Linked DNA regions of Caenorhabditis elegans. The protein of the gene in region 2 interacts with the protein of the main gene of each other region in a pairwise test. Each region holds a gene or a part of one and is shown on either strand. Other genes may lie near its edges.

What was found.
Region 1: the proteins of C50E3.13 (region 2) and meg-4 interact in a two-hybrid assay, tested with the Caenorhabditis elegans proteins (2 studies listed by BioGRID).

Annotation. Positions count from the first base shown.
Region 1 is NC_003284.9:1,681,096-1,686,974, reverse strand, and holds meg-4 (J domain-containing protein), read right to left. Parts: upstream 4,022-5,879; 5' UTR 4,020-4,021; coding exon 3,962-4,019; intron 3,916-3,961; coding exon 2,445-3,915; intron 2,397-2,444; coding exon 2,313-2,396; intron 2,265-2,312; coding exon 2,118-2,264; intron 2,070-2,117; coding exon 1,935-2,069; intron 1,420-1,934; coding exon 1,142-1,419; intron 1,093-1,141; coding exon 767-1,092; 3' UTR 556-766; downstream 1-555.
Region 2 is NC_003283.11:7,621,817-7,626,223, forward strand, and holds C50E3.13 (uncharacterized protein), read right to left. Parts: upstream 2,437-4,407; 5' UTR 2,337-2,436; coding exon 2,298-2,336; intron 2,255-2,297; coding exon 2,153-2,254; intron 1,774-2,152; coding exon 1,678-1,773; intron 1,628-1,677; coding exon 710-1,627; 3' UTR 511-709; downstream 1-510. Other genes in the region: C50E3.12 (uncharacterized protein), read right to left, coding at 16-117, 175-213; grsp-4 (Glycine Rich Secreted Protein), read left to right, coding at 3,137-3,308, 3,633-3,671, 3,719-3,763, 3,855-3,917, 4,048-4,107, 4,242-4,301.

The DNA.
Region 1 (5,879 bases), on a different chromosome or scaffold from region 2:
TTCCCCTTTGGTTTTTTTGGATTTGGTCTGGCATGCTGCCACTGAAATGAAATTTCACAGGAAACACTGGATATCTAAGGCCAGCACTTAACATTGTTTTCATTCTTGAAAGCTGAAATCGCTAGTCAAATAGCCATCCAAGGAAAACACAACAAGTTTAAGGCGGGAAATGGCGCAAGTGGACGTTCAAAGAGAAGACCTTCAAATGAAGTTAGGCAGGCAAGTAGGCATGCCTATCAATAAAAATGTAGAGGGTAGTATCTAGTAGTATTAAGAAAACTTAACATTCCTATCCTTATAATCAGTAATTGCCAATTTGGATTGTTAATAACTTTTTATATTTCAGAGTCAACTACTAGAATTCTATTTATACGCGCCTATACCAATTTCCTCTACTGTGTTTTTCAGTACAAACGGAACCTTCGCTATCGTAGCGGATAAGTCTGAAGCATCGCTTTTGAAATTGAATCCGTGACCACTTTTTTGCCTAACTTTTACAAAAAGCCAAAGAAGAGACATATTTCTACTAATCAGTTGCCAATTATATACCTATTTCAAACATTCGCTTTATTGAAATTCAACTTTGAATTTTGAATGAGCAGCAGTCCTGATAACAATAGAAAACTACCCGTTACAAGTTCCTGGGCAGACCATAAATAAATTCACAAGAAGGAGCAAGTTGGAGTATAAAAAGAGTGGTTAAAAGGTCAATGAACAAGAATAAAATACAAAATACTCGACATGAAATAGATATATATCAGTACAATCATTGATCTCTGGGTGGGTCAAAAATAGATTCCAGCCATTCTCGTTTTGCATTCAAGTATCTGACAGGATCCGATTTCCGAAGATATACAAGGAGACACGCATCAGCAATTGAGATGATATTCTTCTGTCCGATACACTCCTTCCACAACATGTAGAGCATATTGGTGGAATCTGTGGAGCTGCTCGTATCGTCAAGCCGAGCCTGAACGAACTCGAGAGCAATATCTTTCTGAACTGCAAGGTCATTTGGATTTCCTAAGCAGGCTTCAGCAAACCGGAGAAACCATCTTCTGAATATATTTCGCACAGGTGGAACCCTTGGATCTGAAAAAATTTACGTTTTTCAAGATTAAATATGTCTTATCTTTCTTACCATCGGCATAAGGACCATCCAATCTTGGAATTGTCTCGGTGCAAAAATAATTCAAGTACAGCCATCTTTCAGGTGACATCCCGTGAATATTCAAATTCACTTTCAAGAGTTGTGTCTTCTCTTTGTAGTGAGCATCAATATAATCATTGAAGTCTTGTTGAGCTTCCAGGAATGCCGTCAAGCTATCAGAAATACGAGGTGGTGGTGAAGTTGGAGGTGCATCTTGAGAAGAATCTTCGGTCGGGTTGGCTGACTTGCAAGGGAGTGGGGCAGGCTGACTGAAAAAAAAATTAATTGTACTTGGAAAGTATGTTACAGAAATCGAATCAAGCTGTGCGGCAAAAATTTATATATTCTGAGGAAATTAAATTTATTAGCGGGCTCGCAATTCACCGTTTAGTAATTATAATATCAAGTGATTAGACTGGGCTCCAGGGATGTGTGGAAAATCTCAAAAGTTGCCGAGCACTACTAAATTTTTGGCGACAAAATCCATAGCTTTGATCAAAATTGTCTGAGCTCGGCAAACGGCAAATTAGGCTAATTCGGCAAAGTTGTTTCGGCAAAACCGTACAAATTTGCCGCACACCTTCTGGGCAATAGACAAAAGCAGAGGGCTTTTTGCGGAGTTGTGCAAGATTAATGCTCTATTTTTTTACTCGAGAGGTCTAGTCTTGACCTCAATCTACTCAACTTGCACATTATTTTCCATATGTTTGATCCACGATTTTTTGAGAATTCAGAAATTTATATAATACGAAACTCATTGCGAATTTATTGATTTGGGCCTTACCTGGTGGCTTCAGAGGACCATCTCCCGGCTTGGTTGTTCACTTCAGCCATACGATTATCACAATTGATTCCACTTCTTTTCGGAGTTGGGCAACCATTACAATCTATGGAAACTGGATTTCCGGTACAATGAGAGCTGGAAAAGAACATTTAAAAATGTTGTTTGTTCTTTGTAGTTCCATACCTTTTCAGTCCATCAAGCCCTGGAGTCAACTTTCGAGCGATTCGGTTTCCTGAAGTTGCTTCCTTCCCAGAAACCGTGGCGGAGTACATTGGTGACTTTGTGAGTTTCGAATCAATCATGCCAAGTGACTTGTCAATCTTTGAAGACCTGCAATACAAACATAATGAAAAAAGCAGCTCCAAGTGTAAAACTAACTTGTTGGATGCTGTCAGACATTTTTCTCCGATCAAAGCCTTCGGGCTTGTGATGATTGACAAGGAAGGTGTTCTCTGATCCTTGCTGAAATTCAAACTTTTACTAAATACTTCACTTTTTATCACTACATACCTTGAGAAAGCACGTTTTGTAGATTTCGGCTTCCCAGGGTCCCCATGAAGTAAACGTCTCATTTCCTCAACGTTGGCATCAAAAGTTCCTGTCCACTTTCTTCTTGAGATCTTTGGAGGAGAACTCGGATGTGGACTTGGTGTGGGTTCGACATCTTCTTCTACAGTCTCCAGCGTCACGTCAAGACTGGCGAGACGGGACGCACTACGAGAACTTCCACGACGATGTTTCTGCACTGAAGTTTTCTTCGAAAGATTTTCTGGCAGGGTTCGATTGTTTACATCCAGAAAACTGGAGTCGAAGTCTTCACCAATTGAGCAATTTAGATCACTTCTAGCTGGTAATGTCCGATTCAAATTGCTGCATTCTCCGTGAGAACTGGAAGCTGAGTGCAAGTGTTGTCCGATCTTCATGCTGACAATTTCCAGTAACTGTTCCACAGAAAGTTCGGTGCCGTCCTTGCTGAACACATTGGATTTCAGATTACGTTGAGCAGCTCCTCTGGAAGAGTTCAGTTTCTCCGCCACTTGACTGCCAGCATCCTTCGTTCCGCGAGACTGTTGTTGAGATTTGTTAGTGACAGATTTTGGACCGTTTGCAACACCATTGGAATCTTCTATGAACACGTCGTCAGACAGTTCATTGTCATCTGTGTTGTAGAAAGCACGATCCTGGACATTAGTGCTCCCATGTGATCTTCTTCTATCGTTTCTTGATCCTTCTTGATGATGCTTCCTTGTTAAAGCTTCATTAATAGTAAATCCGGAAAAGCTCTGGTTCAAATTCCGCGGCTTGAAGACATCATGCTGTTGGCCAAAACTAGAATTGATCGAATTGATAAGCTCATTTCCAAACATGCCTCCATATCTCTTGTCCTTGTGATCTCCAGGAGCTTGAACTCCAGCTTGAGCGTTGAAGCTTTTATTTCCATGAAGTTGTTGGTAAGCCTTGGTTTCTTGTTTCTGGAACCCAGCTGGAACGGAACTCCCACTGAATGACACATTCCCAGCATGGCCATGATTGTTCGATCCATCCGAGAAGCTTCGGCCAAGTTGTCCATTCGGACGGCTTCTACTGTGCCCTGTATTTGACTGCTGAGTGTTGTACTGATAAGTGGAAACTGACAAGTTCCGTTGATTCCAGCTGGAGTTATTGCGTGTCTGCGAGTTTTGACGGAAGTCTGCAGAGAACACGGGGGCCGTTGGAGGAATGCTCGATGAGTTGAAGACGTTTCTGTTAGCTCGAGCTGCATTCATCGATTGATTAATCGAGTGATTCAACTGGTCGCCGTTCATGGAAGGATTCCCGTTAAAAGACACGGATCCGTGGTGAGATCTGCCACCATATCCACGGCTTGTTGACTGAACACCGTCTTGCTTTACGAACGAATAAAACAATTCTTCAATACTAATGTGGTGTCCCATATTTTTCGATGCACTTTCCAAATTGCTTCGACTATGAGAGCGGTGACCTGAAATTACAAATTGAAGAAAAAAATTGATTTAAAAAATGCTTACCTTCTCTGTTTCCTCTGGAGTTTGGCAGATCACATGAGGAAAGCTTTGAAGAACTCATACCTGCAACAAAAAAAACTTAATGAAATATTACAAAATGTAAAAATGTAAAAATGTAAAGAAAATAATGAGGGAGAGAGGAATTAATGAAAACCGGTGGGACCAAAAAGCAAGAATGGAGACCTGTGAGTGAGTGAGTGCGAGAAGTGAGAGAGTGAGAGAGGTAGAGAAAGAGAGCGCGAAATAGTGTGTGGGGAAACGGTCAGGGGAATGCATGCGCGCGGCAAAAACACAGTTAAAATGCGGCAGGGGTATTACCAAAACAACACAAAACGTTTGTATGGTACCGGCTGTTTTTCAAGAGTATTGGAGGTTTGAGGAACAGTTGAGTAAAAAGTCGGATATTGATAGTTAATTCTCTGGAATATTGGTGACCGGAAAGATAATCACTGAATAAAACACGAGAAGAAGAAAAATAAGGAAAAATCTTTGGTTCCGTGTACTTGTTAGTTTAAAGGTGGAGTAGCGTTTGTGGGTTTTTTGTACCTTAATGACAAAATAGAGTTTCAATGTAAATATCGAATAAAACTGTAAAAAAATTCCGAACATTTTCTTTGAAATTTTATGATTTTTTTCAATTTTGCAAAAAAAAAGGGCCGAATTATTTTTCAATTCCAGCGCAAATTATTGACCTGATCTTTGACATTTTTCTTAATATTTTCTTTGATTTAAAACTTAAAACTTTAATTTTTCACAGTTTCATACATTTTTCAGTAATGTTTCAGTAAAGTAAGTTAAAATTAATACTGAATTATCGATTTTTAGACTAATTTCAGCGTTTCCAAGTGAGCAGCCAATTTTCTTTACGGAAAAATGTCTGAAAATGTGGCAAGTAAAATTTCAAATTATGACACAAAGAAAAAATGAAGAAAACTCAAACAGTTTGCCACGTGGGATCAAATGAAAATCTTGAGGACTGTGGTCGATAACTTCTGCCAATTAATTTTCTAGACTGTCTCATGTTTCAATACCAAAATGAAATCATTAAATACTGCCAGGTTGCCCCACGTGGCAAAATTTTTTTTTTTTTTTTTTTTTGGTTTTTTTCTACAGGTCTTGCCTGGATAAATGCCGTATGTAAGCTGTAAGACAGTGGAACGAACACTGAATTCCCATTTAAGGCTGGAAGGACCTAGGAGGTGGGGGTCGAACTTGTGACCTTGTGATTGCAAGCAGCGCGCATAGGCACTGAGCCATGCACCCCCCGGAAGCATGAGTCACTAATAGGGGTGGCTATAGGTCGACCTAGGTCGACCTGCGACCTAGAGGGTTAGGTCGCATCGCGACCTAGGTCGCATTGCGACCTGCGACCTAGCGACCTGGGTCGCTTTGCGACCTGCGACCTAGCGACCTGGGTCGCTTTGCGACCTGCGACCTAGCGACCTAGGTCGCATCGCGACCTGAATTACCGACATTTTGTTCTCTTTCGGTTTTGATTCACTTGAGTTGTTAAAATCCGTATAACTCGAAAACTAAAGATTGCAGAATATGTATGATATATTCCACTAACATTTTCTCTATTAAGATTTTATAAGTTTATGCGTAGTTTTTTTTCAAAAGTACGGAACAAAGAATTCATTTCTACAAATAAAACCATGCATTTCAGCAAATTTTTTCAAAAAGTTCACGTTTTTGTGGTTTTTGTTGTTTCTAAAATTTCATTTTCCACTTTTCGAATTAAAAACGTAGAAAAAAGCAGCAAATCCGGCGGATGTCGGCTGTTCTAACTTTTTTCGACAAGGTGTCTTATGGATGAGAAATCGAAAACAATGTAAAATAAATGATTTGTAGCAATTTGTTAGTATAAAAATTGTCGGTAATTCAGGTCGCAATGCAGTTTTCGAGTTATACGGATTTTAAC
Region 2 (4,407 bases):
TCAAATTGTTCATACCTCTTCTGAACCATCTTCTGCATTTGACTGCCGTCCACTTTGCTCTTCCGCTGGCTCATCTTGTTCTTGTTCTTTTCCTTGAGTTGGTTCACCATTTGTCTTCTAAACATTCATGTTAATGCTTAATTTAATTTTTGAAACAGGAAAATTCAATCTTACCTCTTCGATATCAGCTGCAGACTCTCCAGACACATTCATCTCTTACAGTTAGTAGCGATTTGAGATGTAATCTGAAAATTTACAAATTTTGTTTAAAACTTAAAACGAAGTTAAAAGAGGGAAAACTGAAAATTGTCAAATTAAAATAGAAAAAAAATATAACTGACCAAAACAATCGATTATAGCGAGGGAAAGGAAGAATATTCGGAAAAGGACACCGGTAATTTTTCCGGGACAATTGTAGGTCAAACAACAACGGTCTTATGAATATTCGAGGGGAACCCCCTCCCGCGTTACAAAAAACATTAAAACATGCGTACATTGTAGATCAAAAAATTTCATATCATTTTTTATCGTTTTTTGTCAAAATTGCTATCGAAAATAAAGGTCGTAATCAATATTTAATCAATATTTACCTGAAATGAAATAAAATAAATAAGATACATCAAAGAAAATTGATATTAAAAAATAAACAGACTGGATTATAAAATAAAGATTTAAAATAAATTAGTATCAACTTGAGTTCATCATTATTTTAGCAACTTCTTCCAAGAGCCTGGGAAGATGTGGATGGAGCATTCCACATGCTTGCGCTGCTTCCCGATCCTCCTTCATCATCATCACGACGTGGTCGCTTGGGCCTCCAATTCGATGGACCTTCCTGATGATCAATCTCTGCTTCATCCTCTGATTCCTCTTCGTCACTCTGATACACAGTTCCTCCACTATCGTTCAAATCAGGATCATCAGCACCCAAGCCTTCTGTTCCACGCGGATTTAAATATTCTGCACGATTAGTTGATATTCCTCCGCCACCTATAACAGGGTTGACCACAAGACTCAGAAGCTCAAGAAGATCTGGTAATTCATCGACATGATGTTCATCTTCATCCTCAGAATCGTAATCTTCTTGGTTCGAAGGACCGGCCCGATTTGATGCACGTTCCCTGCGACGATCTTCTTCGGTACGTTGTCGAGTAGCTACTAAACGCTCATAGTCTCGAATCGCTTGTTCATGCGGCTCCCGTCGTCTTTCCCAGGAATTTGCGACACGGTTCAACCGATCATTCAGAGTTTCCATCCAAGTATTAACACTTTGATCTGTTGGATTTTTAAATCTTCTCAATCTCCAAATAAAGGTTTTTCGGGCGATTCGTTCCCTTTCATACAGTTCGGCCCGCGCCCTTCTCAGTAGAAGCACTCGGTTTTGCACAGTTCGGATAGCCAAATTTTCGGCAGCCTCGTCTTCGTAGTTTCTCCGATTTTCAAGAACATCTAGCCTTCCAAGATATCCAGCTCGACTTCTGAGTTCGTTTTCTTTTTGTAAGAGTTCCTCTCCAAGTGATTCTGTCATTCTAATTAGTTCCAGCTCCTGCCGATATTCATCTTCCAATTCTTCTAGTCGTGCTACTTCTGCTCCAATTTGAATAGTGGTGATCAGTTGACTGGGATTCTGAAAAATAAAATTTGGAAAAGTTGTTATATTTTTAGAATCAGTATTACCACTGCTATCAAGTATTCCAAATTTGGTGGAACTTGCAGGTTATCGGATGCGTTTGGAACTTGTGGTTGAATCGGTGGCTGCCTGGCAGTGAGATCCTGTAAAATAAAAAAAATAAGCCTGACTTCACCACTAATCAACCTTCAACTAGAAAATTGCACAAAATGAATCAAAAGCAGACATAAAAAACTTCCAGAACATTCTCCGAAAATCGAAAGAATCTCGTTCTTTTTGTTACGAAACATAAATCCTCTCAAAAGCTAAACCCACAAAGTTTAATTTTACTGAAGACAAAACGTTCAGCTTCGGTCAATTAAAAAACTGAAAGCCAGAAGTGTTATAAATTATTATTTCGTTTGCTTCTCCGATTTCAGAAAAAGTATAAATAAACAAAAAATCATTTTCACTATTTAGGTACCGTGGTAATTTTTAAAGCACTAGGTAATCTTTAGAATCCCACAAGAACTCATTCAATACCTCATCTGCGCTCTCCTGATCATTTGGCTGCGGAACTCCTTCCAATACTGGCTCAACTCGTTCTTGCTCTTGTCCTTGTCGGGACGATCCACCGGCGTTGCTCTGAATTGCTCTTTTCAAAAAAAAGTTAAATTCTTTTACTTACATCACTGGCTCCCGCTTCTAATTCTTCAGGTCCGGACATCACTCGGCGTGGAGAGGAAACTCGAAGAAAAACGTTTGGATCGTAACAAGAAAGAGAAGAATGAGTTCAATTAGATCATTGTTCTATTTAATTAATAATTAGATCAAGGAGTATTTTGCGAGAACAAAGAAATCTCAGCGCTGGAGAATTTTGTAGATCAAAATTATTTTAGTAGATCATGAGTATATTTTTTAAAGTAATAAAAATTTATGAAATCATTTACATAAATATAACACGTATAAAGGAAAATTATTAAAAATTCAATCATCCAATCGGCTCAATTTGTGCCCAAATAACAGTTTTGAATTTTTGAAGCAAAGTCAGTTCAAATTTTATAGAAATTTCGAGCATATTTCCAGCGGTTCTTTTGATGTTTTAATAAGTGTTTAAAATTTTTCAAAAATTTTCAATATTTTCCCCGACAATCTTTCAATAAAATAACTTGTGATAACTTGATCTTTCTTTAACTATCCAAATTCCTCCTCATTTGACCTTTGTCTTCAAAATCAAGTCAAAATCAAAGAAACATAAGTTTTGTAATTTTTCGTGTGAAATTCTGTTTCTATCATCATCATTATGTTTCGGTGTAACTTTATGTGTCAAATTCTTTTTTAGGTCGTCTTGACCGACCTTCAAAAGACCGAGATAAGACAGGAGGCGTGGCACCACATAAAGGAAGTTTTGGAGAAAAAGTTTTAGTTGTTCTTTCATTTATTTCTCAGTTTCCCTTAATGTGTATTGAGTTTTGAACCTGTTACAAGTATTTTTAAACTTTAAAACAATATTTTCGTATGTTTAGTATGTACAAATTGACCATCTTCCTTCTTGTTACCCTTCTTGGGCTCACCGTCGGTCAATGGGGTCCAGGATTCGGTGGGCCTGGATTTGGAGGACCTGGATCTGGAGGACCGGGACCACGTGGCCCAGGAGAATGGAATAATGGCGGTGGACGTGGTGGATTTGGAGGAAATAGTAAGTTCCTGTTTTGTGAGAGTTTTTTTTGTGAAACTTTGGCCTTCTTTATCTAAAGTTTGATAGGTATGTGGCATTTTTATCAGATCAAAATAGGAAAATTGACTTCCTTGTTACTTATCGGAACATATTCTTCTTCAAACAGTGCATCGTGTGTTTGATGGACCTTATATCCTATACAAGACTCAGTTCTTATCCTCGCTCACATCAAAGATAACAAGAAATATTAAATTATAAACTACAGAAACAAGACATATTTTGTTTGAACAAAAAAAGATAATTTGAGCTATTCATGTTTATCGATAAAGTTAATTTCAATTCCAGACGGATGGAACAATGGTGGTGGTGGTTTCAATGGAAATGGTAACTTATTATTTTTATTCTCAGTTTATTTAAATTTGATATTTCAGGTGGATTTAATGGAGGTGGTCGTGGAGGCGGACGAGGTGGAAACGGTAAGAACTCTTCTTGTTGTATAATAATTGATTTTTGATTTTTTTTTTGAAGTGTTAGATCAAACTAACAATTAATAATTTCAATTTTTAGGTGGATTTGGAGACAACGGAGGTCTGCGTGGAGGAAATGGGGGAGGTCGCGGTGGTAACGGAGGTCGGTTTCAATCCAACTATTGAAAGTTTCAAAGTTGCTTGAATTAAAAATTTTCAAGCAATCTTTTTTTAAAAATACCACAAATTCCAAAGCATGATTATGTTAGAATGTATTGTTAAACTATTTACAGGATTTGATGACAACGGAGGTGGACGTGGAGGAAATGGAGGAGGTCGCGGTGGTACAGGAGGTCAGTTTTCCCTCAAGTTATTGAAAACTTTCAAAGCTTTTAAAATCAAAAATTAAAATCTAAGCAATTATTACAAAAATATCACAAATTCGAAAGAATAGCCTGGTTGAAAAATAAAAATACACTCTTTTCAGGATTTGGTGACAACGGAGGCGGCCGTGGAGGAAATGGAGGAGGTCGCGGTGGAAACGGAGGTATTCAATAGTTTAAGTGAAAAATTATAATTCTTCTATCATCGTTTTAGATTTTTCAATGGGACTGTTAGATTCAGAAAATGTGTTTATCATAATTTAAAATAAT